Drosophila melanogaster: one gene and its partner. The protein of the gene in region 2 purifies or fractionates together with the protein of the main gene of each other region. This does not show direct contact. Each region holds a gene or a part of one and is shown on either strand. Other genes may lie near its edges. The genes, in order: snama and hrg.

The links.
Region 1: the proteins of hrg (region 2) and snama purify together in Drosophila melanogaster (affinity purification with mass spectrometry, with the first as the bait; one large-scale study listed by BioGRID). This does not show direct contact.

The regions. Positions count from the first base shown.
Region 1 is NT_033778.4:24,084,995-24,096,335, reverse strand, and holds snama (something that sticks like glue), read right to left. Parts: upstream 9,733-11,341; 5' UTR 9,634-9,732; exon of another isoform or gene 9,506-9,633; intron 8,805-9,505; 5' UTR 8,786-8,804; coding exon 8,620-8,785; intron 8,561-8,619; coding exon 8,326-8,560; intron 8,272-8,325; coding exon 7,793-8,271; intron 7,733-7,792; coding exon 7,458-7,732; intron 7,395-7,457; coding exon 7,069-7,394; coding exon of another isoform or gene 7,065-7,068; exon of another isoform or gene 6,824-7,064; intron 6,781-6,823; coding exon 6,631-6,780; intron 6,571-6,630; coding exon 6,277-6,570; intron 6,215-6,276; coding exon 4,444-6,214; 3' UTR 4,322-4,443; downstream 1-4,321. Other genes in the region: gek (genghis khan), read left to right, coding at 1-2,221, 2,283-2,559, 2,631-3,059, 3,121-3,327, 3,392-3,577, 3,638-3,731, 3,798-3,994, 4,074-4,174; CG16786 (uncharacterized protein), read right to left, coding at 10,334-11,341.
Region 2 is NT_033778.4:19,659,981-19,677,157, reverse strand, and holds hrg (hiiragi), read left to right. Parts: upstream 1-7,325; 5' UTR 7,326-7,911; exon of another isoform or gene 7,912-8,040; intron 8,041-8,089; exon of another isoform or gene 8,090-8,368; intron 8,369-8,679; 5' UTR 8,680-8,804; intron 8,805-8,871; 5' UTR 8,872-8,909; coding exon 8,910-9,630; intron 9,631-9,693; coding exon 9,694-9,890; intron 9,891-9,948; coding exon 9,949-10,530; intron 10,531-10,590; coding exon 10,591-10,863; intron 10,864-10,927; coding exon 10,928-11,134; coding exon of another isoform or gene 11,135-11,633; exon of another isoform or gene 11,634-11,898; intron 11,899-12,491; coding exon of another isoform or gene 12,492-12,496; 3' UTR 12,497-12,611; intron 12,612-12,673; 3' UTR 12,674-13,239; downstream 13,240-17,177. Other genes in the region: Kpc2 (Kip1 ubiquitination-promoting complex subunit 2), read right to left, coding at 4,349-4,497, 4,561-4,864, 4,917-5,252, 5,308-5,797, 5,863-5,874, 6,009-6,403; CG11018 (uncharacterized protein), read right to left, coding at 13,609-14,508, 14,562-14,615.

The DNA of each region.
Region 1 (11,341 bases), 4.4 Mb from region 2:
CAATGACGTCCGGTTAACGGACTCCATTCCGCCGTCAGCCAATCCTGCCTTCTCTGGATTTCACTTGCCCTTCATCGGGTTTACCTTCTCGCTGACCAGCAGCTCCACCTTGGACTCGAAGAAGAACCAGAGCTCGGGCTTCGGAGATGATACCTTGGACACCATAAGCAGTCCCCAGTTGGCCATTCTGCCGAGCAACAACTCGGAGACACCGGTGGACTCCGTTCAGCTGAAGGCACTAAACGATCAGCTTGCGGCTTTGAAGCAGGAAAAGGCAGAGTTGTCAAAGCAACACAACGAGGTTTTCGAACGGCTCAAAACTCAAGACTCTGAACTTCAGGACGCCATCTCTCAACGAAACATCGCCATGATGGAGTACTCGGAGGTCACTGAGAAACTCTCGGAGCTGCGAAATCAGAAGCAGAAGCTCTCCCGCCAAGTCAGGGACAAGGAGGAGGAGCTTGATGGTGCCATGCAGAAGAACGACAGCCTGCGGAACGAACTGAGAAAGTCGGACAAAACGCGAAGGGAATTGGAGCTTCACATTGAGGATGCTGTCATCGAGGCTGCCAAAGAAAAGAAGCTGCGGGAGCATGCGGAGGACTGCTGCAGGCAGCTGCAGATGGAGCTGCGGAAGGGCTCCTCGAGTGTGGAGACAACTATGCCACTCAGCATTTCCTCCGAGATGTCGTCATACGAGATCGAACGCCTTGAACTCCAGTTCTCGGAAAAGCTAAGTCATCAGCAGACGCGCCACAATATGGAGTTGGAAGCACTGCGCGAGCAGTTCAGCGAGCTAGAGAACGCGAATTTGGCACTCACCAAGGAGTTGCAACAAACACAGGAAAGGCTGAAGTACACTCAAATGGAGTCGATTACCGATTCCGCCGAAACGCTTTTGGAATTGAAGAAGCAGCATGATTTGGAGAAAAGCTCATGGTTCGAGGAAAAGCAGAGATTAAGCTCCGAGGTGAATCTCAAGTCAAAGAGTCTTAAAGAACTTCAAGCGGAGGACGACGAGATCTTCAAGGAGTTGCGAATGAAACGGGAGGCCATCACCTTGTGGGAGCGGCAAATGGCGGAGATTATTCAATGGGTGTCCGATGAGAAAGACGCGCGAGGCTACTTGCAGGCCTTGGCCACCAAAATGACGGAGGAGTTGGAGTATCTGAAGCATGTGGGTACCTTCAACAACAACGGTGTGGACAATAAGAACTGGAGGAACCGGCGCTCTCAGAAGCTGGACAAGATGGAGCTGCTCAACCTGCAGAGCGCGCTGCAAAGGGAGATTCAGGCCAAGAACATGATATCGGATGAGCTGAGTCAAACCAGATCGGACCTCATATCCACACAGAAAGAGGTTCGAGACTACAAAAAGCGGTACGACTCCATACTGCACGATTTCCAGAAGAAGGAAACCGAACTGCGGGACTTGCAGAAGGGAGGCTTGGAATACTCCGAGTCGTTCCTCAACAAATCAACGCATCATGGGCTAAGCAGCGCCTTCTTCCGCGACATGTCAAAGAACTCCGAGATTATAGATTCTGCCGAGAGCTTTGGCAACGAATCCGGCGACAATTTCACTCCCAACTTCTTCCAGTCCGGCAATTCGGGCATGCTCTTCAACTACGAGCCAAAGTATGCGGGTAAGAACAACAAGGATCATTCGTCCATGAAAGAAGCCTCGGTCAGCGATTTGTCCCGCGAGGAGAGTGACCAGCTGGTCAAGGAATCTCAGAAGAAAGTGCCCGGCAACACGGCGATCCATCAGTTCCTGGTGCGCACATTCAGTAGTCCCACAAAATGCAATCACTGCACATCGCTGATGGTGGGGCTCACACGACAAGGCGTTGTGTGCGAGATCTGCGGATTCGCCTGTCACACGATCTGCTGCCAAAAGGTGCCCACCACGTGCCCCGTGCCCATGGATCAGACGAAACGGCCGCTGGGAATCGATCCCACCAGGGGAATCGGCACGGCATACGAGGGCTACGTAAAGGTCCCCAAGTCGGGGGTGATTAAGCGAGGATGGATTCGGCAGTTCGTAGTTGTTTGCGACTTTAAGTTGTTCCTCTATGACATTTCGCCGGATCGGTGTGCATTGCCCAGCGTGAGCGTGTCCCAAGTGCTGGATATGAGGGATCCCGAGTTCTCGGTGGGTAGTGTGCGCGAAAGCGATGTCATCCATGCCGCCAAGAAAGATGTGCCATGTATTTTCAAGGTAAACAGACTGCCATCGCAGCATCTCCTGAGACTAAATGTGTGCATCTTCCTCATTCCAGATAAAAACCGCCCTTATCGATGGCGGTCTTTCGCTGAACACCCTTATGCTCGCCGACAACGAGTCGGAGAAGTCCAAGTGGGTCATTGCCCTGGGAGAACTACATCGAATATTGAAACGAAACAGCTTACCAAATACTGCTATATTTAAAGTTAACGAGATTCTGGACAATACCCTGTCTTTAATAAGAAACGCATTGTGTTCTGTCATCATATATCCAAATCAAATACTCTTGGGCACCGAAGACGGCCTGTTCTACATTAATCTGGACCAGTACGGTAAGCAATCACATTTTATGAAAACTTGCAAGTAGAAGAGGGCACAACTAAATGCTAACAAACATTTCCAGAGATCGCTCGTATTGGCGAAAGCAAGAAGATTCTTCAGCTATGGTACATTGAAGAGGAGCAGATCCTCGTCATTCTCTGCGGAAAGCAGCGCAACTTGCGTTTATTACCTATAAGGGCATTAGAGGCTAGTGATGTCGAGTGGATCAAGGTGGTCGAATCGAAGAACTGCATATCTGCTTGCACTGGAATAATCCGCCGCTTCCCCAATATCGTTTACTCATTTATCATCGCTCTAAAGCGGCCGAATAACCACACACAAATCGTAGTTTACGAAATCAATAGAACGCGCACAAGACACCAGAAGACTTGCGAATTCACAATTGGCTACATGGCGCAGCACCTGCAGATTCTGTCCGACATGCGATTGGTTGTGGCTCACCAAAGCGGATTTACCGCATACTTTCTGCGCGGAGAAGCAACTGCAATGTGTGAGTAGTAATAGATGACGTTTTCTGAGAGTCTTTATAACGTCTTCGTATCTTTCATTAGCTTTGGTTCATCCGGAGAACCAGTTATGTGCATTTTTGAACTACTCCGGAGTGGATGCGGTCAGGGTCATTGAAATTCTGTGCCCCAGCGGCGGCAATTTCGGGGAGTACTTACTGGTGTTCCAGACTCTGGCCATATACGTAGACCTGCAAGGGCGAAAGTCTCGGGATAGGGAAATTATGTATCCAGCCTTCCCTACGTATATAAGTGAGTAAAAAACGAGATGCGGTTATGACTCATGATGTATAACTCTTTTGTGGACTCATTCCAGCCTTTTGTGATGGTCACTTGCTGGTGTTTTCGGATACACATTTGGATATATTCAATACGCAGACTGCCGAATGGGTGCAGTCGATTGGATTGAAGCAATCACTTCCCTTAAACAATTTGGGAAACGTGGTGCTGTCCTCAGTCAATGACACTCCGCTGATTGTTTACCTATCCAATATTCACACAAGTAAGCTAAATCATTCACGTCTGTTTATCAGGGCCATTAAACCACATGCTTTATTTGCAGAGGGCCTTTTGCAATACCGTGACGGAAATCGAAAGGGACTTCCGAGCATAAAGCGGAGATTCTCTATCAGGGAGATAAACAAGACCATCAAAAGGTTGGGCTTCAGTTAACCTATTGGCGCAATCGATTCGAGTCCTCATTATTCGCTTTTTATTTGTAGTGATCGTAGATCAAAGATGATATCAGCACCGACTAATTTCAACCACATTTCTCACATGGGGCCAGGGGATGGCATTCAAAATCAACGACTCCTAGACTTACCAACCACGCTCGAAACAGCCGATCAAGCCTGCAGTCCAATAATACATTCGCTGAGTTGCATACCCCAGAGTAGAAAATCCAATTTTCTAGAACAAGGCAAGCAGCATTTAATGCACAGCACAGACTAGTCGGAGTTTTCCTAATGCATATATATATTATTATTCTGTGCTTTTAGTGGATGCAAACTCCGATGACTATGGCAATGACAACATTATCTCCAGAACGCCCAGTCCAATGGCATCGTCCTTCATGGACGGCTTAAGCAATAATGATTAACTTCAGTCAATCTCTACACGTGTAATTTAATCGATTTTTTAAGATAACTGTTTGTAATAAACATATTTAATTTCTCGAATATCAATCCACCGTCTTCTAACTCGGCGGGCAATCGAAAGTTAGATCGATCACAAGCAAGCAATCCTTGAGTAGTTCTGTTTTATTTGTATACTTATAGTTGCATGATAAATACATACATTAAAAATCTTTGATTTGTACACATTAATCTTCAATATTTATATCATTCTTATCTCGTAGCCTACCGTAACCTACTTCTTTGATTTTTTCTTCTTCTTCAAAATCTTGCTCTTCTTTTTGCTCTTCGGATCCTTGCGCTTCTCGCTCTTCAACGAATCGGTTGACGAATATTTTGAATGTTTCTTCAGCTTCTTATCCCTCTGCTTCCTGTGCTCCATGCCGTTGTCCGAGGACGCGCCCTCCTTCTGTATCGTGTTATCATATTTTACAACTAAGCTGCTCGACGAACTGGTGTCGACGAACTTGCGGAACGGGTTGTCTGGACGACAGGGTTTGGGAGGAGCAACCACGGCTGTTACAGAGGAGACCACTCGGCTGTCGCTGGACTTGGTGTTTTTGGCCGCCCTCCGATCCGAGTCGTCGCTATTGTTTTGATCATGCTTTCCGTGCTTGGATTCGGACTGTTCCTTGTTCTGGCGCCTCAGCTTGTCGTCCTCCGGCGAGCTTCGCTTGTACGAACGCTCCTGCCTCTTCTCTGAAGGCGCCGCCCTGTCGCGGGATCTGTTGTCCCTCTTCCGGCTGCCATGACGATCCGACCTGCCGCGGTTCGCATCGTCGTCGGAGCTCCTTGCGGCCCGGCGCCTGCCCTTCGACTTGTCTCGCGAACGGCTTCTATCATTGGAAATCTTGGTGCCCAGCCTATCCTTTACCGACCTGCTGCTGTTGTTACGCCTGGGTGAGGAGGAGCGATCCTTGTCACTTCGAACTACGGAGCGGTCCTTGCTGTTGTCCTTGGAATTGATAATAACTTGAAACTCCATAGGCCTGATGGCATTAATAGCCTTTGCAAATATTGCGTTCTCAGCCTTTCGCAGGACGTCTGAAGTTATTTCCGACGGATCGTCGGAGGCCCCGGCAGCTTTTTTGGAGGAATCCTCCAAACCTAAGATATTCTCGTCGATTTCCCATTTGGATAGATTGACAGAATTAGCCTCGCTGAGTTTGCTTCTTGGGCCAAGATTATCGTCGCTAGCAGCACCCACAGTAAGGATGGAATGACTCTTCGGATTAACGTTTTCAGTAGCGTTGTGAGTAGGGGAAAGTTGAGCCGCATTGATCTCAATGCTGGGACTTTGAGCCCTGGGAGACAATACTTTATAATTTGACTCGTTCATTAGTGAGCTGTTGTTAATATCCGAGTCAGATCGATTAACTGAGGAGCTCTTCTTCTGGCGATCCCCTTTCTCCTTCTTAGCGCGCTTGTCCTTCTTGTTTTTCTTGCGCTCAGCCTTGTCCTTGTCCTTCTTCTTCTTCTTGCGATCTTTTGACAACGGACTCTTGGCCTTGTTCTCCTTGCCCACATTGGTCTCCATTTCCGTGTCGTTGATGACGGGCTGGGAGGCCATAATTCTGGCCTTCGCGGTCAGATAATCGTCGTGACTCTTTTCCGGCGTCTTCGGTGAACTTTCGCGTTGCCTCAACTGGGCAGCAGTCATTTTCGGTGTGGTGATCTTTGCTGGTGGAGTCAGGCTCCTGTAGTTGCTGTCATTCGGCTTCGGTTCCTTGCTAATGCTGCGAGACCTGTGCCTCTTTCGTGGCGCCTCTTCGTGCCTGTTTTCCCCTCTCTTCTTGCTGCTATCACCCTTGCTGCTTTGTGATGCTTCCGAACTGGTCGGGTGCTTGTTCCTGTAGCCGTCTTCATCCGTCAGCTGCAACGGCTCGAATCCGGGGGGAGGAGGCTCAACTGCCTCCGTTTTGGGAGCACTAGGCTTGTTGTACGGCTTGTCTCTGTAATCACTCTTGTAGCCCGGCTTTGGAGATGCAGAGCGACGATGTCCAGATCTAAAAAGCAGAGAGTAGACCATGAATGTAAGCACATGGAAAAGGGCTGGTGGTAAAACTACCTTTTGATTCTGCCACCTGGGGACTTAGAGCCATCATTCGGCTGGCGACTAGAACGAGGGTGGCGTATATGCCGTTCGTAGCTATGTTCTCGCTTCCTTTCCCGGGATCGCGGTCTTTTGTCCTTGAGATTATCCCTGGAGTTGTCCTTTTCGTACATGGGAGACTTAAAGCGGTGCCTTTGTCTATCCGGGGACCTTGACCTGTGGCGGTCAGAGCTTCGAAAGCGGTCCACCTTCTTCCGCTCCTTCTCCTTCATGATGCGATTGAAGGCCTCCAACGGATCGTCAATGGGACTGCAAAACATTGGGATTACTTGTCATCCCACGCTTCTACAACGCCCTAAAGATACTCACCCGGAACCGACCTTCGCTGCCACCCCTTGGTATATCGAGGCTAAATTTGGGGACTGAAATGGTTGTGACATATTCATATTCATACCTCCGCCTGCAGATCCGTACGGCGCACGCATTGGGTGTACGGATTGGTTTTGATACGGCACATAGCTGAAATTTTAGAAGTTAATTACAATTCAAAAAGCTTAACGTTGATTGTAAGCAATACTGTTTTAATTAGGAATAACCAATATTCAACAAAGCATAAAGGCGCAGAGCCCAGAGCTTAAATTACTCTTAACTAGTGTGTGTGTATAGTCTCTGTTGGAACTTAAAAATATTGAGATCAGGCAGGACCGGCTGCGTATGGACTCGTCAACACCTCGGAGTTCCAGTGGCCTCGACACTTGACTCGATCCACATGGTAGCGGGATCCGGACGGGTGGAAAAGAAACCTACCTGAGGGGAGGCCTCTGTCCCATGTTGTTAAACCCGTTGTTGTAGGCTGGCATGTGGTGACTCATCATGTGCATAGGAGGTGGGCCCCGCTGCATTTGCATATAAGGGGGCTTATAGGCACTCGATCGACGAGCTTCTTCTGATTCGGCCATCATGTGGCCCTGGTAGCTAGGCAGGGTGCCAATGGGCAAGGGCAGGAGACTGCGATCCTTGTTAACAGACTCCGATTTTGATGGACGTTGGTGCTTGTGATCGTGATCGGAAACATAATCCGACCTGTCCCGTCGATGAGAGGATTCACTTCTGTGGGAATAACTGGGGGATCTCTGAAACATTAAGGCAATAATTATGTATCTATGTTGCAGATGTGTCAAATATGTATGTCTCACTTTGCTGGGCACTGTTGTAGAATCAGCTGCAGGCTGGGGCATTTTTATGGTAATGTTATCCTCGTAGTCTGAATCATATTTATCTTTCTCCTTCTGTGATGGTTCTGTGGTTGCGGGAGGCTCTGGAGATTCCGATTTTGGCGGATTACTGCCATTGGTTTCGGATTCTTTTTGCTTTTCAGGTTTCACCTCAGTCTCTTCGGGTTCCACCTCCGCGACTGGCTTTTTCTCCACTTCTTTTTCAACAGGAGGTTTTTCCTCATTTTTTACTGCAGCTAAAAAGAGAAATTCGATTCATTTGCATTAAGCGATGCAAACGAGTATAATGAACTTACCTGGCTTAGCCGCGCTTTTGTTATACCCAGTCTCATTTTTAAAGGCGTTCACCGAATTCCTCAAGAACCGATTAGGTATCAGGGAGCCAGGCGAACAGTTCTTCTCCTTGCAATCGGGGCACTCACTATCCTCTGACTCCAATAAGGAGGTTCGCACACAGTCGTCACAAAAGGAACTTCCGCAGCAGGGTATCATGACAGCATCGACGAATATATCTCGGCATATGCCGCATATCAGATCCTCCGGTATCTCTTGGTTTTGTACAGCAGGCAGCACAAAATCGGCTGATTCGTTCTCAGCCGCATCTGGCTTGTCGCGGAAAGACCGCGGAATACCAGTATTCCGTTTGACCTCTTGCTGGTCCTTTCCCCCCACAAAGGGACAGTTTTTGATCCAGTGTCCGCTTTTCTTGCATTTGTTGCATCGGTAGGATGCGGGAACTTCTCCCACTTGCGATTGTCCTTTAATACGATGGTACCTAAACAGAAAATACATTAGATAGGTGGTTTTGTAACAATTTAAAACCACATACGTCTTAGGATCATAGTCGACTGTGCTCTGCATCATCATGGCCTGGATTTTGTCCTCCTCCGTGCCTTGCATTTTGGACAGGTCCATGTTGAAGTTGTCCTGCTTGGCAGGCGCCGCCGAAAAGGCATTTTCTGCTGCTGGTGGCTCCCAGCCCTTTTTTGTGGGATGGGCGATGGGGATGCGCGATATGATCAGCGTTGTGTTTTTGGGAATAAGGAACCCATCGTCCTTGTATTCTGGAAAAGGGAAGGAAGCCATGTAGCAGGGGAAAAATTCTAAATTGCGGTGGACATACCTTCTTTACTCTGCGCATTTGTTATTTGGAGATCAAAGTCGATGATTTTGCCCAGTCGCTTCTGCTGCACAATCTCCCTTTTTAAGTCCCCGACAGAAATGTGAAGTCCATCAAAAGTAATTGTATCAAAGTTGAGTGTACTCTTAAATTTATAGTGTACCGACATAGTTGCATATGAAAGAAATCTGCGAAGAAGAGATTAAATACGATTATCTTATAGTGTCCACGGCACTTGCGTTATCAGAGTCAAAGCAGGGGGAATACATAATATGCTTCATAAATATCTTAATAAACAAACAGATAAAGCTGTTTAGATAATGTGTGTGACAATGCGCTGCAATCCTAAAAACATGATTAACACGTTTAAGTGGACAGTCTAAAACTGAAACTATGCATATAGTCGATTAGTGGGAAACATGATATTGCATCAAATCTTAAGAGATCACTAAAATAAGCTACTAAGCAGTAGCAAGCCATGCAGGTTCAGAAATCATTCTTGATTGCTTCGGGATAAGATGGAAGTGCGAACTTAATCATTGGTGCTGTGCTATATATTACGGCGGATGGGCAATTTTCTAATAAATACGATCTCATTGGCCCTTTACCAAAGTATGCCGAATATAGATTCCCGATTTGCACCATGCACTTCCCTTGAACAGCGGATAATTATGCCAACATAAGACATTACATATGTATGTATGCGAAGTTGCACAATTCCGGGAACATGCTATATGCATATGCGTATGTGCCACCTAAAATCCGGTCAGATCAATGGGCATTCTGTGAACGATATTTGCATTTCGCATTTTTTGCACCTTTGCATGGCAGCAGCATAGAATTGCATGTGCATAAAAATACACACGCGAAAACATACATATGTACGTACACTTCGGGTTTCTTGGGTCGTTCGGACTTAAACCGCACTTGAATTGCGCTGAGGATTGCAAGGCATCACAGTTCACGCGCGTTGTTTACTACCGGCAAGCAGCTGGCACAAAAATAGCAATTACTTACACTACTCTGCAAGCACATAAAAACTCCGACGATTTTATTTTTTTCCAATTTACTAGAGATGCGAACGTGACGCCAAAGCCCCAGAGATGTGAAATGCGAACGCACACGCGGGTATCGATAGAGACACAGATATCGATATCGATGTTGGAGTGTAATTTATATTACAAAGTGAAAGTATTGAACTTTATTAGATAATGTTGATAAGTGTTGTAACGGAAAGCATTTGGTAAATGTGCATAGCTGGGAATCGATTTCTATATATTGTTTGCAAAGGCAGCAATTCTGCATTTCTGTCGGTTCTCTTCCGCGTGAAACGGTGGAATGGAACACAGTGTATAACTATTAGTATCGATCATTTGAAGAATCAAATAACTCTTAAGCTGCAGTAAATACGGAATGAAAAACTAATTTAGGGAATAAAAGGGTTCAAAAATTTATTAACATCAGTTAAACCGAACTACAACCATATTTTGCTTATCTTAGATCCAAAAAATTCGATGCAATCCTAATTTAGTCTTAACTCGAGTATTTACATTAACAACTTTTGCGACAAAGTGCACATACAATATAATAAAATCTACTGCTTTTTGTATCACCGCCTTTTCGATATTTGCACGTGTTCTTAAATATAATACAGGATTCCTAATTACAAAGAAGTAATGGGGTTAGACACTCTCGCTTGCGTAGATGCTCCTAAAAACTAGCCAACATAGGCGAATGGATTGTAAGGAGGCGGAAAGTAGTTGGGGAAGGATTGGCCTGGCTGGCCGGGAATGGTGGCGGTTATTAATCTAGTGACAGCTGTGGGAACGACAGAGGTTGAGAAGATGGTGGTGTAGGCGGTCCTCGCGCCAAAGGTCAGCTTTAGAACCTTGGAGCTCGTTTCCGTTACCATGGACTGCTGGACCTCGGTGGATGTGATGAACTGTTGCGGGGCAATGGGCAAGAGTGGGTTGAAGGGATTGAATGGGTTGATCGAGAAGGGATACTGCGAGGATGGCGTTGGCATGGAAATCGTGGCGACATCAGTGACGTATTCCGTCTTCTCCACCACACCCACGGACTTGGAGAGGGTTCTCATGATGGTCTCGGTGCCTCTGACAAGCGGCACCACATGGGACTCCCAGATGGTCTCGAGCTTGATCACGGGTCGCGTGGAAGTTATCAAGCTGTTTTGCAGCGTTTCCGGGAAGCTAATCGATTCCGGGAGCAGAGGGTTTATCGGGCTAGTTACATTACTCTTGGCCTCAACTTTGAGTTTTGGTTTAATCTTTGCGTCGAATTTGCCCGTATTATCTTCATCTCCGAACTCGAGGTCCAGGTTGATTTCCGACCCAGCCTCGTCCAAACTTCCTTCGAAGTCCTTGAAGTTCTTTGAGGGATTGAAGTCGTCGCTCAAGGGGGAAATGGTCTGTGTTACAGTGATGAGACTGGTGTAATCGTACGTCTGAACTAGGGTAACTTGGATGGTCTCGTTCCTTTTTGCGTACACAACTGGGAGGATCTGGGTCTTCAGCTTGGTGTGCGTTATGGAAAAGGACTCCGTTATGGTCTCCAGGCTGGGGGTCTCGGTCTCCTCGCCCAGATAGATGGGCTTCAAGGTCGTAACGCTGCCTGTTAAGGTCTTATCATCGGTGCTGGCGGTGGCCTCCAAAATGTTCTCCGTCAGCGGGCCATCGTCTTCGGAGTACTCCTTGGTGTGCTCCTC
Region 2 (17,177 bases):
CGAAAGGGAGACCATGCTATAGTTTTTAGGAACTGGTCAGAAAGGGAAAAAAGAATCTGGAAAGTTTGGGTGCTTTTTATTAATTTTATAACTGTGCCGTCCGGAAGCGGAAGAAGAGAAAAAGAACTTTGGCTGCTGCAGAGGAAAATGGGCGGGAAAACTCTCAGCAGCTGCGGTCAACTGGGGGCTACCCACTAATTGGCCTTGTGAAAATATTTGCTACGCTTATGAAAACAGTTGACCCCCGGCTGCCCACGACCCTTGAAACTGAAATGACACCCACAAAGGACGAGGGCCCAAAAGCAGTTACACTCACACATGTGCATAAATATGAGGCTAACACACACCAGCATATGCGGTGGGTTTATGCAGGGCAATTTCATGAATAAGAAGGCAAGCACGCGTTATTGTCGAGTTCATCTACAAGCTTCTAGAATTATGCTACAAAATATATAAATTCCACAATATGAATTAAAACCTAAGTTGGTTGAAATGATTACCGCTGCATAGGTATCTAAACTTTTACAAAATAGGTCAGTATCCTTGTAATAATTATAGCTAGTTGAAATTAATGCAAACATTTCTAACAGTATAAGTCTTGAAAGTGAGTTGACAGTAAACACTACCTATTCCTTCGGAATTCCCCCATTCAAAAATCCCTGTATGTCCTTTGACATTTCGAGTTGCGCATGAACATAATTAGAGTCTCGTCCATTTGGCCACCCGCAAACACACACTCACGCAAAACAGCTCGTGTGTAAGCCAGTCCAATCACAGACACATGCCGGCCCAGCCGCAGGACCCTGCCACGCCCCAACCCGACGCAACCCGTCGACCTCCGCCCACCGGGCAACACCACAATTTTTGTCAACTGAACTAATTAATTAATTGTGGGCGGCCAGTGTGGCCTTTCTCTAGTCGAGACCGAAGCGAAACGCACCGACCCACCACCCACTTGCTAACTGACCGGCAACTAATTTTTATATTTATGAGGCCGGGGGACTTTGGCCTACTGCGTCATAAACTGCGGCGCTTTGTTTACTATTGTTGCTGTTTGGTATGCATGTGTGTGTGCGTGTGTCTGTGCTCTATGTGCGTCCCGCAATCCGCAACAACCGACGGCAGCACCCACTTCCAACCATTTGGAGGACATTTTATCCTTGCCGCAGACTCCATGCCGTTTGCCCAACATAAACTTGCATGTTCCAATTTTTAGTATCTTTGTGTGATTTCATGCGTTAAAGCAGAATTTTTATTTGCTACCCGTAAAGACAAACAATTCCAGGACACATATAGGACATACAGGATATGGGATATGGAGGGGAGAGGGATTTGGACTGGGCCATTTCGTTTAATTTTCATGTCGCGTTGAAAGTTTTATACAAGTATTTATGGCATATAAATGAAATATTTGCGACAAGGGTCGAAATTGGGCAATGTTTGCTAATGAAGGAGAGTTCGATTTGCTTTTAAATGGTTAATTGGTCTGAGGTTTTCTTGATGAAGGAGGGATTTTCCCTCGTCGGACGGACAGATGCGATGTTGAATACTAAATCGTTCCATTATCAGATTGGTTGCAAATGGGACTGTGTAATTAAAAAGATTCTTCATAAAGTTTACTACTTTTAGGCACATTGTTTATCTTCTGATTATACATTAAATTCATATATGTATTTAAAGGTTTTATTTATTTCATTAAATTTTGTTGTAGTATTAATGCTTGTTGAAATAGGATATTGTGCAGATTATCTACTCATTTATTTCCTGCATTTATGTATACAATACAAATAATTTTGCCCTTCGGCTCTGACAAAATGTCACGTCTTTTGTTTTGTACCAATTTCAATATTTCATTATACACATTCGATTTTGGATGCTGATGAGGTCGTGCTGCTATTAATGCATATTAAATGCAATTTTTTAAGAGGGCCATTCGATGAAGTTATTCGGCTGGCTGCCTTTAATGGCAAATATAAACATGGAAAGCTCGCGAAAAACGCATGCGACAGGAATTTTAAATCATTGAATGCGAAATGACAAAACATTTTCATTTTCATACAAATTGCGGAATTTGGCAGGATGTCTTTCCTATTCCCATCGCCAATCCGATTCCAGCATTGTTTCGCATTTGGGTGGGTGGATGGTGTGATATCGTCAATATAAAGCTGTTCATAAATTTGCGGCGCCTGCAAATATGCAGCGGAAATTGCCAAAGCCACACGACTCTTCAATAACACACACCCATTCTATCCTCGGAAAACTCCAGATGGAGCTGGGATGTTTTTTTTATAGGCAACTCGGGGCAGGGGCATTTTGCTGCGGGGGAGGATTAGCTGGGCGATGTTCATCGCTCGTCGTCCTTGTCAATGCATTTCGTCTTTTGATAAAAGATAATATCAAAAACTCATTTGGCCTGGCCACTTTTAGGAGCAATCACCAAACGTGCACCCGAAAAAAATGGAGCATCTATATTCGATCGAAGTTTTAAAATATAACTTTAAGCCCATGGGTATTGCATGCCAAATACTTTAAGAACTTCTGCCAAGCCTACATTGCTATCATATAAATAAATAAATATAATTACGTACCAGTTTTATTATTCGCTTAATTTTGAATCCTGTAGGAAACTGTACTATGTTTTCTTCGGTATAATGTATTTTTCTCAGTGCATTAACAGAGACCGCTTTGCAGGGGTCCAGATGATTTATTATAGTCTATTTCCATCCTTGCCCGCTGCATGCGTCATCAATTTTTAGAGATAGATTTGCATGGCAATCGCCAAGGGCCATTAGGCGAAGCTTGCAGATACTTTGTACGCATCCGCTGGGTTTTGCTTTTGTTGCAGATGCAACATGCAACCGCAAACATTTAATAAAAACACGAGCTGACCATAAATAATTTGCTCTTTGCCCACATTTATATCCTAAACAACCAAAAATATTGCGCGCAAATATTAATTAAAAGTCACCAGATAGGAAAAGTTTATTCATGGATACACAACCACTGCAACAACCACTTAATAAACGCGCTTAACATAAATTAAAATGTATCCAACTATTTTCCCCGTCCAGGCTGAATACAATTAATTATATGTGGAAAAAAGAATGCAACAATTGAATAGAATAGTTTTGGTTCACTGTTTTTGTTTACTCTCATGTTTGCAGCTGGAATAATGAAATGAAAAATGTGCGGCCGCATGGAAAATTAATTGTAATTGTACATTAAAAGAGCAATAGCAAAATAATTCAGCAAAGATCCAAATTGCTCTGCCAACAAAGCAATTCCATTTGTACAAATTACTAGAAAGAGTAATGGAAAATGTTTAGCTTTACATATGCTCTAAATTACGAATGAGTACACACCAACTTATCACTGATGATTCATTTTGTTTAAAAGTGTCTGTAAATGTTACTCATCCGCCGTGGTGAACTCAAAGGAGCTTGAGTCATGCGTAGTCAACTTATCTATTTGCTATAAACACAAAGAATCCCCCAATTTTGGGAACTACTGGTTTACTGTTGACTTAAGAAGAAGTCCGACAATAAACACAAAATAACTATTCGCTACACGAGGACGACCGTCATTGAAAACTTTATCCAATCTTACAAACTATATAAAAAGTTACATCTTACACCTTAGTACCGACATAATCTGGATATAAAAGAAACATTAATTCTTTTGTTTTGTATCAAAAACTAATTGATTTATTTGCATTTTGTTAAAACTATGCAAATTTGAATATTTGGTTTACAAAATAATACTTTGAGTTCAAGTTGATGGTTTAAACAACCTGGGATTACAACGCACTTAAATCACCACACGTACGAGCGCTTATAAACTGATGGGTTGTTTCTGTGGGATGCAGTATGTGACATTTTCTAAATGTAGTGCGAGATTCGGCTGAAGATGAGCTAGCAAACTAGATGAATAGAGTAATTATTGTTTAACCTAATACAATTGTAGGATGAAGGCCTGACTAGATATAGATACATTTTATATTTATATATATATATATATATATATATATATGTATGTATGTATATATATGTGTATGTATGTATATATATGTATATGTATGTATAAAATGCAATTCGTACTGATCGGTAAGCGTTTGTAGAGTGCAGCCGCGTGCTCTTGGCGAAGCGATTGCATCTTTTGGCTTTGTGCAGTTTACTTTCATGGTTTTTGGCTACAAAAATACTCTTTACATACGGGCACATACACAATGTATAATTAGAGCCCCAAAATGGACCAAGCTACAGCCATGCACTTCGGGTGTGTGATTGTGTATGTATATGTATAAATATAATTTGGTTAATCTCATAGTAAAGCCACTTAGCGGCATCTTTCACCAGCGGTTCGTATAGAACTGATTGATGCCAAGCACATGCTTCTCCTCATGGTACTTTTGAAGGATATGTGTGATGACCGAGGTTGTGTCGTTGTCGCCACGCCACACGCGTATCGCATGTTCGTTTTCCAGGATGCCCAGAAATGCTGTAAACGTATGTGCAATTAGTTTCGATTTCAACTGTTGCTATCTTAATTAGATGGACATACCCAAAAAAGTCTTTGGATTGCTTAGGGTCATCTGGACTTGTGGCATTTCCAGGATCACCTTTAGGATGGGCGAATCGGGCGCCAAGCCTTCACGCAGTTCAATAACGCTACCCGATCGATTGTCGCACAACCATTCGCACGCGGACGCCTTGTTGTTGCCAGTTTTCTTCAGTGCCGCGAGCACTGCCGTCTCCTCGAAGCCCATTTCTGTAAGCGATTCCACAATCTCATCGCTGGGAGGGGAATCCCGGTGGCTGTAGATTCGTACAATCTCAATCAAGGCAGCAGTGTTTTCAATGGTTTCCTTTAAAAGAAAACGGTTGTCATTAAAAAGCGATAATCTAATTCCTACTTACATTATTGGTGACAATCGTGGAGGGTGAGATGGAAGATAGACTGTGCTGCATATTCATGCCCGGCGGTTCCTGTGGATTTTCCTCGTTTTGGTTCTGTATTAGCCACTCCATCGTGGTCGAGTAAATGCCATTGTGTGCTTTTAAGGCAAATGCGGCTAGCTCCCGCTTGAAGCCCATGTCCACGAGGCATTGCAGCGTATCCGCTTGCTGATTTCGGCGATTGATCAAACGTTGCTTTAGCATAGCTATCAGGCGTGGAGCATAAGGGCCAGCTCCTATAACCGCCGCAGAAGCTTGAGCCAAAGAGATCAACACCTTTCGCACATCGTATTGGATCTGGAAACGGAATAGGATTAGAATAATCAAAGGAGTAGCCAAGAATTGTACTCACATTCGACTGCTGAAAGATTTCATTAATATCGATGGTGGGCAGCTGGTTGCAATTGACGGGCACGTATCGGGTGGCGCTCTCCACCAGCTGCTCATTTGGGCCAGGAACCTCACGTATCCGTGAAACAGTCTGCGGCAGAGTATTGCGTCGTGGGGAGAGTATGAAAGTCTCATTGTTGCGAACTTTTAGCTGGGCCAGCGTGTCGCCCTCGTTAAGCTCGCCGCCGAAGTATTCCGCCCGATAGAGACGGTATCGCGGATTAAGATGCCGCACATCTGGGGCAAATAGCTGGATGGAGTCGGGATCGTCGCTCAGTTCCAGAATCACCTCACTCTTCAGCTCGTTTAGGCGCTTATTAACGTCCGTTTTGAAGATAAGAACCCGAGAGCTGGGGCAGATTACCCGCACCAGGATAGATTCACCTGGCCTGCTGGCATCGTCTGCCTCGCCAGAAGTAGAGCTACCTGGGCGATTTGTATGGGCTGATTTCCTAAGTGGATTCCGTTAAGAATGGACTTAATTAAAAGATTAGCATAATACCTAAGCATTACTAACCTGAGAAACAAACTGCGCAGTTTTTGCATAGTTTGTTTTAGTTGGATGGGTAGTGACAAACCAACGGAGAATTTCGAAAGACAAATATTTGTTTCGGGTGAGCACTTTGAAAAACATAAGCATATTCGTTCGGTTTGATAACTTACGCATTAGCCTGCTGTTGGTGAGTGGGCGTGGGCGAGTCCTGTGGCACCACCTTCTGATGCTCAGCACGTTCCTCTCGTCGCTGCAGCTGTAGCTCAAGGTGAATGCGACGTCGGCGAGCGGGCGATGGAGTCCTTAGGACGCAACTGCCCCCGCCCACAAGGGGCCGCGAATTGGAAGCGGATATCCCGCCATCCGTCTGCGTTTCAGATTCCGCCGTGTGGACATTCAACGAGGATCCGCTCAGGCTCTCCGCATCGCTGGCGTCTGTCCGCTGGCTGTGGCTATGACTGCTGCTCCGAGGGCTTTCGTCAGCCGGAGAACCACCGCTGCGCTTGCTACGCGCCAACCACTTGGCCCGTTTCTCGTTGAACTTCTCCCGCATCCAGGGTATCATCTTGGGTCTGCAGCTAGGTGTTTGTTACATTTTGCGGCACTTTTCGATGGCTATTTTGCATATTTCTCGCAAGTAAACAGAATCGATGCGTTATTGCAAAAAAAAAAAAAACGATTTTTATTTTTGTAAAGTCGATAGCAAGCAGCTGTTTGATGGTGCTGCCAGATAGGCCATATCCATGGGGAATACCCCTAATCTTTATAACGGCTATTTTGACATGAAAAACTATTTTAAAATATGTTATGTGGCTGAACTTTATAAATATATCGTGATATGTACATATATGAAGAAAACTATGTTATTCCTTATCGTTAGCCAATAACAATAACAGGAAAACATTGGGGTTAAATACTTTTGTTACTTTACTGCAATAAATAGTAGTTACCCGAATATAGTAATAGAATTAAAGAATTCATTTTCCAAAAACTATTAGTAATACAATCTAAGTGTCTTAATGGTAAATTGGTACCTGGTTAGACCCGTCATATAAAACCCAAACATACTTGAAATCCCAGTTTGAAATGGGTTTTCAAATTTCAGGTAAGAAAATTGGGTTTTGAATTTACCTACACCAAAGGTGCAAAAAGTGACATCTGTCGCAGATTTCAAATAAGCAGATGGCCAGATTAGGTCCCAACTGTAAAAGAACCAATAGTAAATCCTATGCCCTCAGCTTATTTTACTTAAGGCGGTATCGCTTGCAGATGACTCTCACTTTTATTACTTGCGAAACGAATCTGCTTGATAATGAAATAAAATGGTGCTCATACACATTATATTTAAAACCAATTTGCTAAAAATCATTTAAAAATTCTCACTAAAAATGTCCATTCACAATAGGCATACGTAAGCAGAGAGCATGGAAATCTTCCCATCCCTAGCTACTCCCATTGGCTCATCTCTATGCGCCGCAAGAAACGATAACGATTGCCACAAGCATCCAATCGATTGCCACACATTTTAATTATTGCTAGAACGCGCAGGGGCTTAAAAGTTAGTAAAATATGTTTGCCGCCCACTAAACGCCACAGCGTCGATCCCGTCGTGTTATCAGTGTGCCCCCGTCACCTCCGAAACGAAACAAAAGTGGGCGGAAAGCGTTTGTGTTTGCGTTTTGGCAAGTCGACTACTGGCATTTGTATATCGGTGTGTGCGTGTGCGTCACGTAGCATAAAACGCGAGAGTTTCTGTCCGTTAAGCAGCAGTGGAAGGTGGTGGAACGGGAACGGAAAAAGAAACGAAAAAAGAAATGTGAAGAGTGCGGCAAAAAAGCGAGGAAGACGAACGTGCGAAAAGAGTAAAAGCCGGAGCGACAACAGCACATGAATGGGATACACTCTCCTGCCAAAAGTTCTAACAAACAAACATACATACATACATATGCACCACTCACGAATGCAGCGGACAAACAGCACGACACGCCACACACACACACACCTTCAGATATTGTTTGAAGCGGCGGCACGGGAACAACAAAAACAGGCCAAGAATCTGAAGAATAAGCGCAGGTAAGCAAAAACAAGCAGAGAAAACTTTTCCCCTCGTGTGTGTATGTATACGGCGCGTGCCTGTTTGTGTGGGTGTGCGTGAGTGCGTGCGTGAGAGCACCGTTTACCTGTGTGGGAGGATTGTCGTTGGTGAGAGGGGGGTGGTGCAGGCGCATAAATATTCGCTTTCTTTGTTTATGTTTGTCATTGTCACAATTATTCTGCTACAAGCAACAGCTACGGCAACCCACTCCAACCGCTAATTTATTTGCCAATTTCTTTTACGCATTTGTTTATATGCCCGAAAGGCTATCCAGTGAACCAGTGTGCCCAGCTGCTTTGCGAAATTCATTGTTATGTTTTTTGTATATAACGGCGCTATCAGAAATATCTTATCGCACATTACAATTTGCATTTACTCAGCGCGAAAGTAAATTGTAATTGTCAATTAACTGTTTTGCTACACAGGAAGAAAAGGGTAATTTCAATTTAGTAGTAACTGTTGTATATATGTAGCCCTTATCACGTGATGAATGTGTATCCCACAAATATTTAGTTCAAATATTAGGTGATTCACTTTTTAAAAAACCGCGTCGTCATCAGTTTGGAAACGCCGTACAATAATTCTCACTTTAAGAAACCCTAATATTTCGCAATCCTTATGAGATTATCATAGTCCGAACAAACCTATTCAATTTCAATACGATCCGCTCTTCCTTAAGAATTTTAAAACCAAACCTTAGAGTAATGCTTTAGATGTCATACTAAATGTATTATTTTCTTTTCCAGCATTTTATTAAGCGCAGTTTCTTAAACAGAGCCACAAGAGGAGGTGTCGCATATATATGATTCCATTTTGTCTTCTTGGAGAGCAAACTTAAATATAATACCACATACATTTTAAGCCTAGATAGGTGAGTAAATCGAATATAGCGATTCCGAAAGGATCAGATAATAACCGTTTAAAATTTCAATTTTCAGGACATAACTTTAAGCTGAAACGAAGGCAGACAGACAACATGTGGAATTCCGAACCAACACATCGCCAGCACCATCAGCACAATGGAAATTCTACCTCGGGCGGACCGCCCGCCAAGCAATTGGGCATGACCTCGGCTATCAGTCTGGCCGAGCCACGGCCTGAGGATCTCCAGCGCACTGATGAGCTCCGCGGCTCACTGGAGCCGTACAACGTCTTTGAGAGCCAGGACGAGCTAAATCACCGTATGGAGATCCTGGCCAAGCTCAACACACTGGTCAAGCAGTGGGTCAAGGAAATCTCTGTCAGCAAGAACATGCCAGAGTCAGCCGCCGAGAAGCTTGGCGGCAAGATCTACACATTCGGCTCGTATCGATTGGGTGTCCATCACAAGGGTGCCGATATAGATGCCTTATGTGTTGCTCCGCGAAATATTGAGCGCACCGACTACTTTCAGAGCTTCTTTGAGGTGCTCAAGAAGCAGCCAGAGGTAACCGAGTGCCGCTCGGTGGAAGAGGCCTTTGTGCCCGTCATCAAAATGAACTTTGATGGCATCGAAATTGATTTGCTGTTTGCCCGTCTGTCCCTAAAAGAAATTCCTGATGACTTTGATCTACGGGATGATAACTTACTGCGGAATCTGGATCACCGTTCGGTGCGCAGCCTCAACGGCTGTCGTGTGACGGACGAGATCCTGGCCCTGGTGCCCAATATTGAAAATTTCCGCCTGGCACTGCGCACTATCAAATTGTGGGCAAAGAGTACGTGTTATTATATAAAATTCTTATAAATTAAATTCTAATTGTTCTCATTTTCTCTCTTAGAGCACGGAATCTACTCAAATTCATTGGGTTATTTCGGTGGTGTGACCTGGGCCATGTTAGTGGCCAGAACCTGTCAGCTGTATCCCAACGCTGCGGCTGCCACACTGGTGCACAAGTTTTTCTTGGTCTTTTCGCGCTGGAAGTGGCCTAACCCAGTGCTACTCAAGCACCCGGACAACGTTAATCTAAGATTTCAAGTAAGTCATAAAAACTTATCCAAATAGTCCGGTTCTCTAATAGATTTTCCTATTCTAGGTCTGGGATCCGCGTGTCAATGCCTCGGATCGGTATCATCTGATGCCCATTATTACGCCCGCATACCCACAACAGAATTCCACATTTAATGTGTCCGAATCCACCAAGAAGGTCATATTGACCGAGTTCAATCGCGGCATGAACATCACGGATGAAATCATGCTCGGTCGCATTCCGTGGGAGCGTTTGTTTGAGGCACCTAGCTTTTTTTACAGATACCGCCACTTTATCGTGTTGTTAGTCAACTCGCAGACGGCTGACGATCATTTAGAGTGGTGCGGCCTTGTTGAGTCAAAGGTGCGTCTGCTAATTGGCAACTTGGAGCGAAATCCCCATATTGCACTGGCCCATGTCAATCCCAAGTGTTTTGAGTTTAAGAAGGGCCAAAGTGCCAACAACTCACAAAACAACAGTGGAAATGAAGACGATCTGAAGCAGTCGCAGGGAAACCAGTCTGCTGTGACATCGGCACCCTTCTGCTCCATGTGGTTTATAGGCTTGGAATTCGAGCGATCGGAGAACCTTAACGTGGACCTCACCGAGAGCATACAAAACTTTACAGAGCATGTGATGATGCACGGCGTAAGTAAAAAATCGAAAATAATGTTTATTCAGTTGCTTATTACTTTTTTAATCTTGCAGGTTAACATCAAAATGCTTAAGGAAGGCATGACCATTGATGCCCGCCATGTAAAGCGCAAGCAGCTGTCGCTTTATTTAGACTCTGACTTCCTAAAACGTGAGCGCAAGTCAATGGAAAGTCACAATAATTTTAATAACACGCTATTGGCTAACCGCAAACGACTTTCTACGGAACTGGCCCAATCGCAGGATCCACTGCCCCCAGGCCAGCAGCCATCAAGTGGAAATCGCGGTCGGGATAGCGGAGCCAAGATACAAAGACTCAGCGATTCGGTTAGTGGTATAAAAAAGATATCAATTTAGAACGTATTAATTAGTCGAAACTTTGTATGTCTAGCTGACAGAGGAGAACTCGAATGCCTCCAGCGATATGGGGGCAGGGACGCCCACCACGCCCACAACGGCGCAATTAAGTGCGCCAAGCTTTAAGAGCTCTGGCAAGAACGGCTCCGAGATAGACGTTGTAGAGCAGGAACCGACACAGCCTCACAACAATGGCAATGCCAGCAGCAACACAACCACAACGGAGGTGGCATGTTCGTGACAACCGCCAACGCTACATCCGCATCCGCCACATCAGCAGCCACCGCCAGCGCCGCCACAGCCACCAGCTCACCATCATCATCATCAGAAGTTCCGAAAGAACAACAACGCGGCTGCGGCAGCCGCCTCCAACAGCATTTTCAACCAACGCTCGATTCTGCATGCCGCTTCCAGTCTATCGGCTGCTCTAAGCATTACCGGACATAAGCGCAAGCAGCAAACGGCAACATCAACAACCATGATCAGCAGCAGCAACATTGCTCACAGCAACTACACCCAGCATAGCACTCACAACAACAACGGCGGTGGCGGCGGCAGCCACTACAACAAAACGTACTACATTGATGATGATGACGAGGACAACAATCAACCACTTTTGACACCTAACAACCAAACACAACAGCAACAAAAAGCGGTCAGAATAACAGCTACATCGGCGTCACCAGCAACATCGGTTCCGGTAGCTGCGAGTGCCGCACCACCGGCACCGACAATTTCTTGTAAGTTGCCTAAATGTTTTTCCTCGTTATCGTACTCTCTTTTCATTTTCCCCAACTTCCTTTGACACGAGACTGTTTCTGTACTCTTAAGTTGCCTATCTACTTACTTTTACGTATTCTATAACCAGTATTCCGCCAATGTGGAAACAATCTAACAAAAACATACCTCTAATTTTTTAAGTTTTAAAAATTCAATTTACCTAGCCCGAGACTAAGCTCAATAAACGATGATGAAAATAAACTTTTTAAAAAAGAAAAAACACTGAACATTTTTCGTATTTTTATTTTCCAAATTGTTTACAGTGAAATTCGTTTGGTCAAACATTTTAGGCTATAGGAATCTGCAAAACAAAATGCGAGAAACAAACCTTGCTTTGTTCAATATTCAAGAAACAATTTCTAAAAAGAAATAAGTGTAAAACATTTACATTTTATTTTGTTTATATTTCGGGTTTTATTTTTTGTTTGGCTGTCTAGCTTTCGTCAGTTTTAATGAATTCATGGCCCTTAAAAAGCATTTGTTAATGTTTGTATTGGGTTTTATAAGGGACAAGCTAAGGAAACTGTTTTATATAGTAGCACAGATATTTCGGTTCTGTGGGATTTTACTACGATAATAACACACGTCTCATCTGGAAATTAAGTAAAAGATGAAGGTATTGTTAAAAAGATTTTTTGCTGTTAATTTGATTTTAATTGTTTCCACTTTGGTTGTACAATAAACTCAAACTTTTTACCACACCGAAAATTACGAATGTTTTGTTTGCATATTCTTGTTGAAGTATTGTAATTAAAACATATATATAAAACATACATATATTCCAATAACCGTTTTTATCCTTTTTATTGTCTTTGCAGTGTAAAAAGTTATTAAACATACCATTTAAGGATTAGTTATCATAGTTATTATCTCCCTATTGATTTCCTCGGCATTGATGCCTGAACATACATGAAGCCCACAATATTTTATACAAAACGGTGAGACTAATTTTGAATTAATGGCCACTGAAGTTTATAATTCGGTTTTCCATTCATTTCAGGTTTCTATCATACACCTTCTACAAACATGTGTTAAACATTATTCGTTCAACCAATTAACATCGCCCTATCGTCAAATCGAAATTGGCATTCGGAGATCAACAATCGCCGTTAAGACAAGAAAACATCATGACTTGAGGCGATTTTTAGCGGCAGAGAAAGCATTTCTCTAACATTTGTCTTAATAATATTGTTGTACATCTTTTTTACTTCCCCACAGCTGGTTTGAGGAGTGCGTAGAAGAGAGAAGTGTGGAGAGGAGGATGTGGATAAAGATGGATGGATGAATGGATGATTGACAGCAGCGGACTGACAAGATCCTGGAGAAGATTCGCTTTGAAAACTATTTACAAACTAAGAAGATTCTTTTTAATTTTTCATCTTGTTTTCAATATTTGTTTTCTTCTTCTTCTAGTTGTACAACGCTGAAAATTTGAAACAATTATGTTCGTTTTTCTAAGAAATGATATCTGAAAAAAGGTAATAACAAAAACATATAAATGAAATGAAGATATTGATTTAATTTTACCAAATAAACCAGAAAAATGAAAGCGCAAGCTAAAACACCAATGTATCAATGTTTTAATTATTTATTGGAGATGTGTGATGGATAATATATTTGGAATACAAAATATTTGCACTGAAAATGTTGGGAACTATTGGATATAATTAAATTGCTATAGAAAAATGTACTATTTTGCTAATGACGAATAAAGGATGAGTAGTTTGTTCCGAAGAAGCTTAAATTAAGAAAATAAAATATATTTATTTCTGCAAGCATAAATCAAGAAAATTTTTGAATTTACATTTAAATGAAGAGGAATCACAAATATGATAATCATTCCTTGTCCCATCAATTTTCTCGTACGAAGACTGATCATGATCAATGTCTAACTGAAATTTAAACAGGTTGAGTGAGTCCAAGATGTGGTTGCCTTTAGTTAATGGCAAGTTGGTGTAGCGGATACTTGGGGATAAAGTACTCCATGCGCTGGTTGCGTCTAATGGCGCACTCCTGGTACTCCAACCAGTCAGTGTAGGACTCATTGTGGCACTGCTCCGAATCCCCTTTCTCGTAGAGCTGCTGGCGAAGGGAGAAAAAGAAGGGGCGCACTTTCTTCTTTATGCTGTAGACGTGGCGCATCAGCCACTTTTCGACTTTAATCTCATTGTAGATGGTCGATCTGTTCAAGCAGACGGTGGTCAGATTGTCCATTTTTGGATAGTAATTACGGACCGGTTTCGGATCCACAGTTATTCGAGGTATTTCATGCCTAGCTACGGCGAAACGGGTGTCGAAGAAATGTCTACCAAAAGTGACGCCCCAAGCATTGTATTCCTTCTCCCCATATTGGTTTGTAACGAATTGTTGAATACTGACGGTCAGCTCTTTGGGTGGTTCAGTTCCTTTTCCTCCGGCGGCACCTCCTTCAGCCGCTCCTGCCGCCGCTGGAGCTCCATCAGCTGGCGCCGCAGCTTCAGGCGGAGGTGGATCTTGTGGAGAAGCAAATAGTCGAATGCCACTTTTATGGATTTTCTTAGGAGCAGTAGTGCTTCCTCGGGTCACAGTAATTGGTGGCGGATTAGTTTCATTGTAGCCAGCTCTACGGTGATAATCATCCTGTAGTTTCTTTGCGAACACTCTGAAGCCGTCGGATTTCTGCTGCATTTGGTTATTGGAGCTTTGATCCACCTTGAAAATATCGAACGTCGACGGATCTGGTTTTACTTGCCTTGGAGCTCTCTCCACCGGAACATCCTCTGCCAAGACGATTGGAAGTGACTCCAGATCGGTTGTAGCCAATGGCAAGCCAACGACTCCTTGTACCCATAAAATCTAATGGATTATAATATACATAGGTGCTGCAGTTGGTGGCTCGACGCACTCACGATTATCGATGATATTCCCAGGAGGAATCCTTGGAGGATTGCATACCAATGCATAGTGTTCTATGTGATATTTTAGGGGTATATCCCTTGTCTTTAAAGTGTGATTCAACAATACGAATGTAAGAAATAAGCGTTTTCAACAAGGAGCCCATAGTGACTTCAATTACAAAGAAACTTCGATTGCTAACTAGGCCGGGAAAGATCTATACAAATAATAGTTGGTAATGGTAAAAAATTTACAGTCAATATTGAAAATATATATTGTATCATGGAGGTTCGTTATGTTACTGTATACAGTAAAGGAGTTAACTACAATTTAAACAGGTGGTTTGTTCAAGAGCCATTAATATCTCAAGGATTTTAAATACATCGTGTACAGTCGCCACCTATACAGTTTAAGGTAGTGAAATTTTCTTGACTAATCCTGCGTGATACCTAGGATTTCGTGGGACGACACGGGGAACCCGACGGTGATCTGCGATCCCGTGTCCTTTCTGGTCCTAACCTAATTGCAGTTCTGCGAAAATTATACGCGACACAGCTGCGCGTTTTTCCCCGAAACCGAGTAGCATTAATCCGTTTATGGCCACGGATTAAGTTGCAAAATTTTCACTAAGGTCGTCGCGATCCGGGACGCGAATTCGCGGAACAGCCCCGACCCTTTCAGGTAACAACGCCCGCCACCCACAGGTAGGTGTTTATAGGACAAGAAAGTGGGTATAAAAGATCTAGCCGCTGGCAAGGAAGTCATCAGTTACCAACGCATCTTCAAAGTGTAAGGATCCCGCAGTGAGAAGCGAAGTCTTAAAGTTTGGAATAGCAATTATACGACAAACCTTGTTCGGTTTTGCCAATTTCCAAGCCAGCACTGGGTAAAGTTTGTCCTATAATCCCGAAACGACGACCAGCTAATTGTGAGCCACCTAAGGTCCCGATCCTGGGATGCATCTTGTGCAGTTATGTTTCAATCTCACATCACTGGGCAAAGTGTGTCTCAAGATCCTGGCCACATCGTCGCAACTTCAAATCAATTAAATCAAAAAATCAAGAGTAAGTGATATTGGGCACTCCAGTTTTAAAATTGAATGGCGAATGTCGGTATGGTCTCTTTTTCAAAGAAAGGTTTCGATTAAGCGAAGTGACTAGACCGAACACTCGTGCTATAATTTTAAAATATTCAACATGCTCAGTAAAGTTGCGAGTGAAAATTAAAATATTATGGAGCGGTTGCAATTAGTTTCTTTGGTCGTCCAGCCTTAGGTGATTTTTCCGGTCATAAAGCTAGACAACCATTGAAGTTCGTTGTGGCATTAGCAGCACCACGAGTCAAGAAATTATGTTAAGTGATCCCCAAATTCATCGGGCCATTCGCTAAAAGGAACGATCGTTGTGATATGAGTTGTTTCCTAACATATCACAGTGATTTTCCTTTATAACGCATGTTTAAAGTCCACAACTCATCAAGGAAAATGAAAGTCAAAGTTGGCAGCTTACTTAAACTTAATCACAGCCTTTAATGTAGAGGGAATAGTTGCTGTGCTGTAAGTTAATATACCATATCTATATCACAGTGGCTGTTCTTTTTGTACCTAAAGTGCCTAACATCATTATTTAATTTTTTTTTTTTTTGGCACACGAATAACCATGCCGTTTTTAACCCAAGGGAACTTCTGCTGCTGATATATTATTGAAAAACTACTATATCACAGTGGCTGTTCTTTTTGGTTGCACGGCCAATTCCAACGATTTGTCATTTGTGGCACGCATTTGTGTCACCTCAGTGCGAAAATTGAAAATTGTACAAAAAGAAGGGAACGGTTGCTGATGATGTAGTTTGAAACTCTCACAATTTATATCACAGTGGCTGTTCTTTTTTGTTTGGCAATCGATCTACGTTCAGTGGTTTGCCAGGACATGAAACAGAAATATTTTCCGTCAACAGACTTCTGATTGCACAAATTCCTCAAGCTTTGAACATTTGGGAAAAACTGATGAGACGTTGGTTTTCTAGCTTGTGCATCAATTCGTCATTTGTCTGCAGTTTTGTCAATCTTTAATTGCACTTTACAATTCATTGCTTTTTGTTCAATCATTTTTGGGTGGTGGTGCAACTAGAAGATATTTTATTTCTAGTGAATAAATAAAAACTGTATCTAGGTGTGTTGAATTTATAAGTTTAATTCTAAGATTTGATTTTATCTTCATTTGCAAAGTCAAATTCTAGTGGAGTTGATTTCTACATCTATTTTCTTCACTCTACTCTAAGCCAAGTGCGTATTTGTCAGTATAAACTTCAATTTAAAGAACCGTCTTAAGTTTGCACATGCATTTTCAATAGATGCTGAGATGTGTCATGGTAATGTGGGAGTACCACGTGCAAAACTTTCTATCCGGTAACAGCCTGCTGCTCAACCCTTTCCAGGTGAAAGAGCACCTGACTCGCATTTGGAATTTAACGCGTGTGCGGAATGGCCAAAAGTTGGCCAAAACCAACTCTTGGCCCGAGGCGTGGCCAGTTTGCTGCTGGCCAAATGCAAAACAAGCAAACGGCGCAATCCCATTCTGCATTGACATGGCCGCCATGCCATAATGTTCGTTATGGCTGCAAATGGCCAG